Regions from separate parts of the Mus musculus genome. Here region 1 is reported to be linked to region 2. Evidence: microRNA targets listed by miRTarBase, many of them from high-throughput screens and not tested one by one. Region 2 holds a microRNA gene; the other region holds the end of a gene's coding sequence.

Evidence for each region. Region 2 holds the annotated microRNA mmu-miR-3102-5p (GUGAGUGGCCAGGGUGGGGCUG, at 3,194-3,215, shown strand). A microRNA usually pairs through its seed, bases 2 to 8, with sites in the 3' UTR of a target mRNA and lowers its output. Matches are read on the target gene's strand: a 7mer-m8 pairs with bases 2 to 8, a 7mer-A1 pairs with bases 2 to 7 and ends in A, and an 8mer does both.
Region 1: the mRNA of Mxi1 is a reported target of mmu-miR-3102-5p. The part of its 3' UTR that is shown has no 7-base or 8-base seed match.

What each region holds. Positions count from the first base shown.
Region 1 is chr19:53,370,899-53,375,972 of GRCm38, reverse strand. It overlaps Mxi1 (MAX interactor 1, dimerization protein), which reads right to left. Exons shown (of 6, transcript NM_001008542.3): 6 at 2,680-4,400. The coding sequence ends at 4,237. Among named protein-coding and RNA genes, the nearest start is that of Smndc1, 17 kb to the left of the region's middle.
Region 2 is chr7:100,880,529-100,885,602 of GRCm38, reverse strand. It overlaps Mir3102 (microRNA 3102), which reads left to right and starts at 3,194; the gene lies at 3,194-3,297. It overlaps Arhgef17 (Rho guanine nucleotide exchange factor (GEF) 17), which reads left to right. Exons shown (of 21, transcript NM_001081116.1): 4 at 1,719-1,835; 5 at 2,041-2,133; 6 at 2,311-2,487; 7 at 2,780-2,830; 8 at 3,084-3,193; 9 at 3,298-3,383; 10 at 3,792-3,910; 11 at 4,211-4,424; 12 at 4,929-5,002.

The DNA.
Region 1 (5,074 bases), not on the chromosome of region 2:
GTCATTATCACTGGAGAATGCACTCAGCCTTGGGTTAGGTTTTAAAAAATAGGGGATCACTAAGACATAATTGATCTTCTGTAGCCTTTCCTTAAAAAAGTACTTCAGACAAAGCTAAGCCAGGTCAAGTGCAGTCTATCTGGAGATTGAGGTGGACCATTTGAACTAAATACAAGTTCAAGTTTTATGTGTATGAACCAGGATTTCAGAAATGGGGCTTTTTGGTAAAATAGTCCAAATAAAATTTGAAAATAGTGATGGAATGCATTAAAAAAACGGGGGCTGGGAGGATAGTTAGGGCTGGAAAGATGGTTCATGTGGTAAACTATTTCCCTTGCAGGCATAGGGACCCAAGTTCAGCCTTAAACTCTTTTCTTGGTTTGTTTTTAAAAAGCCAGAGAGCCAGACACGGTGGCACATATTTTTAATCTGCCTCTGGGAGGCGGACGCAGATGGATTTCTGAGTTCTGACAGCCCATGAGACTGTATCTCAAATCAATGATTAATAAAGAAGAATTAAGCCAGTAGGTGGAGAAGATGGTTCAGCTGTTAGGAGCATTGGATGTTCTTCCAGAAGACTGGAATTGAAGTCCCAGCATCCTCACGGTGGTTCAAAATGGCCTGTAACTGGTTCCACATAATCGAATGCCTTTTTCTGGCCTCTGTGGGCATCAGGTATACATATGCAGACACACATGCAAAGAAATACATAAGTAAAAAACAAAAACAAAACCAACATGCATGGGTGAGTGTGTTTGTAATCCCAGTACCAAGGAGTTAGACTGGAGGATCCTGGGGCTTGCCAGCTAATGAGCCTTGTCTGTTTGGTAAGTTCAGGCCAGTGAGGGGCCCAGGCTTATAGATGGTGCCTAAAGAATGATGCCCAAAGTGCATGCACATAAGCACATGATTACCTCTGGCTTTCTCTTTAAGCATTTTGAGGGCATGAAAGTCATTTACATGTATTGGTTCAAACCGTGACATTTCAAGACTGAGACAGTAAATTAACACTGTAGGAGGAAACAGGCTCCATGGAGAAATAGGTCATTTGCCCCAGGGTCTGTCACATGTTGGGGCTGAGGGTAAATGGAAAGTTTTATTAATTAGATTTTATCTTGGGATTTTTATTTTTTAAAGGTGGGATGGTAAAAGGGAAAGATAGTGGCTTTCAAGAAAAAGGGGGAAAATTGAATATTTTAGGCCCAGTCATTCCTCAGGATATATGAGCCAAGAAACTTTATGGCCCTCAGTTAAGAGCTCTGCCTCAATTCTCAGCTTTTAAACATTTTTGTAATCCAAAAGACAACTGTCATGAAGACTTAGAAAAAACGAACAACCTTTTTTTTTCTCTACAGTCCTTACCTCTGCTAACCAGAACGGAATTAAAATAACTTTGTCAGGCTCCTTTGGTATATAAACAGGTATGGGAATTACCTGTACCTTGTATGAAGATATAAGAACATAGGTAGAGGCAGACATTTTTCTAAATTTGAGGCCAGCCAGTTTTAAAGAATATACATACAGGCATTAGAACACCCTAAGTAAGGTTAACGAGGCAGTGAGAACTGGTAGGCTCCATTGCATATGGTGGCAGAAGAGATTCCCAAGAGGACATCTTTGTGATGCTTGAAAGTAGTTATCAGCTGTCAACACAGGGAAATACTACAGTCGAGTTGTATTGAACTAGAGTAGATATCTGCTAAACTGTACAATAGGAATGGTAGCTGAAATTCATACTGCTATTCTAATATCTAATATAAAAGCAAAATACATTTGGAAGGCAGTTACCTAAAGATATGGGCACTCAAGAAATTTTCCCTTCACAGAGGGCACTGAGCAGGTATCCCTCAATCTGGTTTTTACTTCTTGCATAACTAGTCTTTAAGCCAACCTGTCTTCTAGAGAGTTAACATGTAGTCACAAAATCCACCCATGTCCTCCTTCCCCAGCAGCATATTTGATGTGATGTATGTGGAGGTTTGTAATGACGGCTTGCAGCCCATCATCCTGTATAAACACAAAATGGCCGCATACAGAGGTTGCCTGAATGATGTTCCAAATTTCAGTCCTGGGCCAAGATGATGTGGGTCAACACCATGGGAACACAAGAAGAAGTTGTAGTTGGATGGTGGTGGTGCACACCTTTAATCCCAGCATTTAAGAGGCAAAGACAAGTGGATCTGAGTTTGAGGCCAGCCTGGTCTGCTAGGGCTAGAAAGAAACCCTGTCTCGGGACCACCCCACCCCCAACCCTGCTCTTAAAAAAAAAAAAAAAAAAAAAAAAGGAGAATAATGCAGCCACTCAATGGCTTCCATTTACTTTCCATGGTAAGGACAAACTTTAAGAGAAAGCTCAAAGACAGCCAATACACACACACATCTTACCTGTCTGGGAGTGACTGCAAGGGAAACCAGAGGGTTTCTGCATTCTGTCCTCAGCACCTCAAGTGCAACAGGTTTCAGCCGAGTGTCTGGAGGCATGCAGTGTTTCACAAACAGCTACTTCAAAGAACCTTTTCATTCAGACACAGCCCAAGCAACGGCGAAGTGCTTTTGCAGGCACAAAAAGAGCACTGGGTAGTGTGTGCTGGGACCTTATGCATGACCAAGGCGGTATGTTTCTTGTATGGAGACGTGCTATCCACGGAAGATAGCTCTGACATTAACACACAACTCGACTGCACTGCTAAATATGGTTGTTTTTATTTTCTTTTTCCTTGCCCAGCCCTATCTAAACATAAAATAAAACTACAGGACTGAAATTAACAACCCATTAAAATCAGCAATAAGTTATGAAAATCATAAAGCTTTTTTTTTTAAGTAATTAAGGGTAGTTAAATTATTTAAAGAATACAAAGTCCAAACAGCTTGGGGTAAGGTCTCCAGCAAGGCTTCCCAGGGAAAAGCAGTGGCCCAGAGGGAAACCTGAGAGTTTGAAAGACAGAGGGAACACATGACATCAGAGTGCAGGCTAGAAGTTCCACTTAGAAGATAACATTTCTGAAGGGATTTGTAAGAGCAACAATAGCACCCGCACAGTGGGATTGTGGGGGAGGAGACTGCCTGTAGAAAATCTTTACATTAAATGAGACAAGTGCTGAACGTAACTATGTTAACTAGGATAGTATGTCTACTATGGATATCAGATGGTTAAAGCTGGTAAAAGGGAGTGGTCCTAAAGAAAACAAAAACAGCATTGACCTCCGTCTACCCAGCCCAGACCTCGTCCGTCTGTCTGTCCTGCGCACTGTGAAGAGTGAGGCGTGAGGTGTTTATCATTATCAAATGCTGCATCAAAATAGATGATTTCCCCACGTGGTTTATTCCACTATAAAAGACATCTATGTTTTTACTTATGGACAAGCTTTAAAAAGATGTCATTTTGGTTTTCAACACATACAAACAGTTATCAAAATCTCAAATAAAAATGCTGCGGTGGCTCAGACCTTGGCTGCTATACTGCGTGCGCACCTCCTCAGCTCCGCGCAGACACCGAGGCACACAGAGCTTTTCCTCCTGTGATTCAGGCCGTCATGCATGGGCTGCCCCTACGTGGCCGAAGGGTGGCGAGCGGGTGGTCGGCTGCTCTAGAGCTAACAATGCAGGTAAGGTTAGCTGGCTTAGCATGGAATCCAACAGAAAGCCGGGCTGCGTCAGGGCCTCTTTCAAAAGGCTTCATGGAGTCTCTCCTTTTGTAGAGCACGATATGAGCTTTTTAAAAATTCATTTTGTTTAAAAGAACTGATCATCCACAGGCTTCATGATAAACAGAGGCTGAGTTTTAATAGCTCTTCAGCTATCTGAGATTAATGCCTGATTATCCTGCCTTTTCCTTACTCTAAGTGTGATTTTGTTTCTAGGGCCAAGAAGCTCGGGAAGGGTTCATAACCCTATCCTTAAATGTCTGCTCACCACCACAGAGTGAGCAAACTGCAACAGGAGAGTGAAGTCTCCATTGTCTCTCAAGTCAACCTGGTCAACTCAAGATAATCACGCGCATGGTTTCTGCTGCCGTTAGAAACTGTACTCTTTCCAAATATAGGAATATTTGTTCTACCAGGGAGGCTCTACCCCACTTTTCGTTAAGTATTTGCTTAAATACAGGTCTTCTGACCGTTTTGTTCAAGTATAGTTTTTAGTTTTAAAGAGGAGACTGCATCATGAACCCAATTTGAGAGCCGGTGTTGACTCGGCCCAGTGAGCGCTCCGCCCTGCACTGTTAGGCCATGCTGGGTCCTAGGACGCGAAGGAGAGTTTGACACTGGCACTGGAATAACCCTCGTCACTCCCGACACTCTGCAGGCTGCTGTGGTCGTCAAGGTCACTGATGCTGGTGGTACTGACACTGTCTGCTTCTCCATGGGAGAACTCTGTGCTTTCCACATCCACTTCAATCTCCTCTGCGGGAGGAAGAAAGAGAAAACAAAGGGGGGCATTAATAATCTGCATGTGCACTTTCAGAAGTTAGAGAGGTTATCCAGCAAGGTTATCCGTGCTCTATCAGGGACTCTCCTGCAAAGAGCAATCTGGTATACAGTGGTGGTCTTAATTTAGGCAGCAAGTTTACTAAAACCCTTTTGACGCCAGTCCGTCTAGACCTCCCACTAAAAGCGCTTGGCCTGTTTGGGAATTAGTACTTAATATTAAAAGATCCCAACCCAAGTGGTTTAACAACATCTGTTTTACATTAAACCAAAAACTAATTCACAGCTCTGTTTATTAATCAGGGTTGCTTTAAAGAGGTTGGGGTCATGGAGAAATAAAATTAAAGATAGAAAATTTATGTTTAGGCATCCGAATTTTTTGGTGGTGTCAACTCTCTATCATAGATCATAGGTGGATCTATGGATTTCTATGGATTCATCAACAAATTCTGAATAGTAACTAAAATAAGCTAATCATAAAGTAGGTTTAAGGGGTTTGCTTTTGATTTTCTTGCATGAAATATAGCTTCAAGCCATGTCCCTCTCTCATGGTAAGAATTCTGCATTTTCTTTCTCTCTTTCTTTCTTCCTTGCTTCCTTCCTTCCTTCCTTTCTCTCTCTCTCCTCCCTCCCTCCTTCCTTCTTTCCTT
Region 2 (5,074 bases):
TGACCTGGACCTCATGCTCAGATGGGTGTGACATTGATGCTCGCCGCGGTCTGGCTCCTTTTTTAATAACTGTGGTTCATACTGTCCGGCGCTTTTTGCATGCTGGGCATTATCCTGCATAGTATATATCCTAGGGCCCTGGCCTCTCATGTCACCTGCCACGCTCCTCCTCCTAGGAGCCACAGCATCCCGTGAGCCCCTCACAGTCCTTCCGTGGTAGCTCCGAATTCCAGAAGAGCCACAAAAGCAAAGTTTAAAACAAAAACAGAACAGAACAAAACAAAAAACAAAACAAACAAACAAAGCTGAGTGGTGGTGATACGTGTCTTTAATTCCAGCACTCTGGAGGCAGAGGCAGATGCATCTTTGTGAGTTCAAGGCCAGCCTGGTCTATAGGAGTTCTAAGACAGCAAGGGCTACACAGAGAAACTCTGTCTCAAGCAAACAAAACATTTCATTTTATTAAACTCCTGCAAACATAATGTACTGTTTCTTCCTAAATTGGCATTTATTTATATAAGTTTAATTATACTCAAAAAACTTTTAATTTACATTTTTTAATTCCCAAGAATTCTTAACGATGACTGATAAATCATAGCCAAACTCAAATTAAGTGTTACCTTAGAGCCATGTAGTTACAAAAGCAAAACTGTAGAGAATCCTTCCAGAAAATTCCATGCCAAAAAGAAGAAATGTTCCACATAGCAAATTTAAAAAGTCCTCTCCCCTTTGGGCCGTAAGCTTGTTTAAATGTGCTCCTTATGACGCAGAGTGGGGTCTTAACCTATGTACGTAGGCCTTAGTTTGTCCTTGCTCCTTGGAAACTGGTGCCACCAGGTAGGATTAAGTGCTGTTGCCTTCACTCTCTGTCTGGACCTGGCTGCTGTCTGTGGGCTGACAGGGAGCTCCACAAGGCAGGCCCTCCCTCATCGGCTCAGGTTCAGCCCTGCCATGTCCAGAGACAGGAACATTTGGCACCTTAGAGAATCAGGGACTCCAAGATCTGTATCTTAGCCTGTCCTTGGTGCAGCTGAAACTGGAACCCAGTTGTCCTCTCTTGTGGAAAAGCCCTCTCCTCCGCCCCCCACCAGCACCTACCATCAGCCAACCAGCAGGATTAGCCACCACTGTGAACCCTGTCCTGAGCCAGGCTTCATTCTGCCAGGAGAGAGCCCCTAAGTCAGGCAGCAGGCACATTCCATAAAAGCAGACTGCAGCTCAGTGCCAAGGGTGGGTCTATTGTGCTGGGAGGGATGTTCCTCATGGAGGAACGAACTGCACAGGCAGAGTCCCAGAAGCTACAATAATGTGTTCACTCCTACTACCAGGAAGGTCTGAGGCCTGCCTTGCTGGTTTAATGGGATTGGAGACCTGGTGATAGATTGTCTGGAAGTGAAAACAAATAACAACAAACAAATAAACAACAACAACAGCCGCAGCAACATTAAAAGAAAAACAAAAAACAACCCAGGTCTTGTCTCAGCACACATCTAGGCACATGTATTTGTATGTATGTATACATATATGTGTATATATATATACATATATATACATACACACCTGCTCATTCAGTCACGTTCATGCATGCAACATGTATGAATTTTGAGAAAGACAGAGAAGACCTGCCTGACCATTTCAAGTTAAATAGACAGAAGCCAGGACAGGGTGAAGTGGGTGAGGGACACCTGAGCCTGCCTAACCTGCTTCCTCACCCACAGTTTTCCAAAGACGTCTTGGTGAACATCTATTCGGCCTATATTGATAACTTCCTCAATGCAAAGGATGCTGTGCGTGTAGCTAAGGAGGCCAGGCCAGCCTTTCTCAAGTTCTTGGAGGTATGTGGACTGGGGTAGGGGTGAAGCTAACATGTCAGGCTAGCTCTGGGCATCCCAGGAGCTCTTGACCAAAAACATTGTGGTGCTTGCAAGTGTGTCAGCCTCTGCCTTTGGGCTCACCTGGAGGGACTTGGCTAGGAGCGTGTCTCTTCCTGCCGTGTCAGTCCTCATGTGAGAACTCCCTCCACTCTGCCTTCGGTTTCAGCAAAGCATGCGTGAGAACAAGGAAAAGCAGGCGCTGTCCGACCTCATGATCAAGCCTGTGCAGAGAATCCCACGCTATGAGCTTCTGGTGAAGGTAACCACGGGCCTGGCTGGACAGGGAGGCCCTGGGGGTCGGGGGGAGGAGTATGTCTGTTCTCAGACTCCAGGCAGGAAAGAAAGTCCTCCTTGATGCCTATACCATGGTCTCTCATGCTCCAGCAGTCAGTTCAATACCTCAGGGCAGCTAAACAGGTCTCCATTCCCGCCCCAGGACCTTCTGAAGCACACACCGGAAGACCATCCAGACCACCCACTGCTGCTCGATGCTCAGCGCAACATCAAGCAGGTGGCTGAGCGCATCAACAAGGGTGTGCGGAGCGCTGAGGAGGCCGAGCGGCATGCCCGCGTGCTTCAGGAGATCGAAGCCCACATCGAGGGCATGGAGGATGTACGTGCCCCACCCTGCCGTGCCCCAACTTGTCCCTGTCTGTGTCTTCATCTGTCACCCGGATTGTGGCCATCCACGTCCAGGTCTGTGGTCAGCTTGCTTCTGTGACCACAGTGCCCCACCCTTCTGTGTCCTCCTCCTCCTCCTCCTCTGTCTGACCTTGTGTCCCTGTCTGGCAGCCCAGTGATGCAAGCGAGGACAGGATGTCGCTCTGGCTGACCTCGTTCATAGAGTGGTCAACCGATCACTGCAGGGTTAATAGACTAATAACTAGTTCTCTCCTACCCACCAGCTCCAGGCCCCCCTGCGGCGGTTCCTGAGGCAGGAGATGGTTATTGAAGTGGTAAGGGTTCTCCCATTGGCTGTTCCCCCAAGTACCTTCAACCCACCCAAGTTCACTCTCTGGCGCCTGCTGCCCTCTGGTTCCTGCTCCCCAAGCACCACACAATGGGAGCCCTGCATGAATCCCGATTCCACATAAGTGGGGGAGAGCCCTCACCCCTCCCTTGGATTTGCTGTTCCTGGGGAACTAGGGTAATGTAGGTCGGCCTCTAGACTGTGCACACTGAGCCTGAATGCCACTTTGGACCCTACAGAAGGCAATTGGAGGCAAGAAGGACCGATCCCTCTTCCTGTTCACAGACCTCATTGTCTGTACCACCCTGAAACGAAAGTCGGGCTCGCTGAGGCGCAGCTCCATGAGCCTGTGAGTGGCCAGGGTGGGGCTGGGTGGTGCAGGCAGGAGAGCCATTGATCTATTGTGGGCTCTACTCCCTGCCCCAGCCAGAGCACCCCATTGGCTACCCACAGGTACACAGCAGCCAGCGTCATTGATACAGCCAGCAAATACAAGATGCTGTGGAAGCTGCCACTGGAAGACACAGACATCATCAAGGGTGAGGCTGGCTGAGTCTGTCAGGGGTTCTGCTGGTGGCTTTCCCCTGAGTCTGCCTGCCTGTCTGTTGGTTTGTCTGCTCTTGTGACTCATCTTTCATCCCATATGAGAGATTGGTTTTGAAGAACCGGGTTAGTTTCCATGCAAATCATCCTCTTAGTGCCCTAGCAAGTTCTCCAAGAGTTGGCCGTTCTGTGCCCTGTGACTCTAAACCAGACCTCTCCTCCCGGGCCTGTTTTTTTTTTCTGAGAGCTACCTGTTGACCTTGTTTCTGAGAGCTTGGGTCTGGAAGTGCTCCCATTTGCCAGACCAATCCCGTGCTCAGCTGAAGGCTGTGCGCTAAGGGAAGTGTGTCTGTCCAAGCTTGACCTTGTTTGATGTGTTCATGGCTTTCCTCTGTCCTCGCCAGGGGCGTCTCAAGCCACCAATCGGGAGACCATCCAAAAAGCCATCAGCCGCCTGGATGAGGACCTGGCCACCCTGGGCCAAATGAGCAAGCTCTCCGAGAGCCTCGGCTTCCCCCACCAGGTCTGTGCCCTGAGCTAAGGCAGTGTTGGCTGGGACTTCCCCTGACCTTGCCTGAGGGACAGACAGTCTTGGCTTTTGCCTGAGGGAGCAGTTGGTCCTGTCACTTATCTGAAGGGGAAAATTATAGTCTTGCTCCCACTTAAGGGAAGTGACAGGTCCGGGGTCTGAGGGAGGAGACCTCTGAGGGGGAGAAAGGCCCATCCCTGTCTGTGGCAGGAGGAGGCTGCCTTCCACGGTCCCCTCGGTGCAGGTGCCCATGTGGTGACACCTTGGCCTGAGGCCTGGGTTCTTTTCCCACAGAGTCTAGACGATGCACTGAGGGATCTCTCGGCCGCCATGCACCGGGACCTGTCAGAAAAGCAGGCGCTATGCTGCTCCCTGGCCTTCCCGCCCACCAAGCTGGAGCTGTGCGCCACCCGGCCCGAGGGCACCGACTCCTACATCTTTGAGTTTCCCCACCCGGATGCCCGCCTGGGCTTTGAGCAGGCCTTTGATGAGGCCAAGAGGAAGCTGGGTGAGCCAGAGTTCATGTTGGTGTCTTCTCTCACAGTCCCTGTGCAGTCCTGACTGTAGAAGCCAGGACTCTCTGAACTGCCCTCCTGTCCTCCAGCGGCCGATAGGGAAGGTGGCCTGAGACTTCCACAGTGAAGCAGCAGGCTGGACATTTGCTCTGGCTCCCAGCTTCTTCCTGGGGGGGAAGGAACTCCTGGACAGAGTCGTTTGGGGACAGGGACCCCAGCATACGCCTGAACCACCAAGACCTTCCTCTTCCTCAGTATAGACTCAGCTAAGTCCTGGAAAGTTATTATTAAGTCTACAGCTTAGAGATCCAGGGCTACTCATTGTACAGAAAGGAAAACTGAGGCCAGACACAAACGGAGTAATCCATGACCTCTCATTCTAGCTGAGCTGGTACCCGGCCCTCCCTAGGGAGACTGGAATGGGGAGGGACCAGAGCCACTGTAAGGTGGGTGCTAAGCAGGGGTTCTCTCCTTTTGCCCTGTCTCCTCTACTACAGCATCCAGTAAAAGCTGTCTAGACCCTGAGTTCCTGAAGGCCATCCCTATCATGAAGACTCGCAGTGGCATGCAGGTGTGTGTGTGCGTGTGGGCCATGTAGACACGTGTCTACTCAAAGCTACATACATGTGTATGAGGTTTTGTG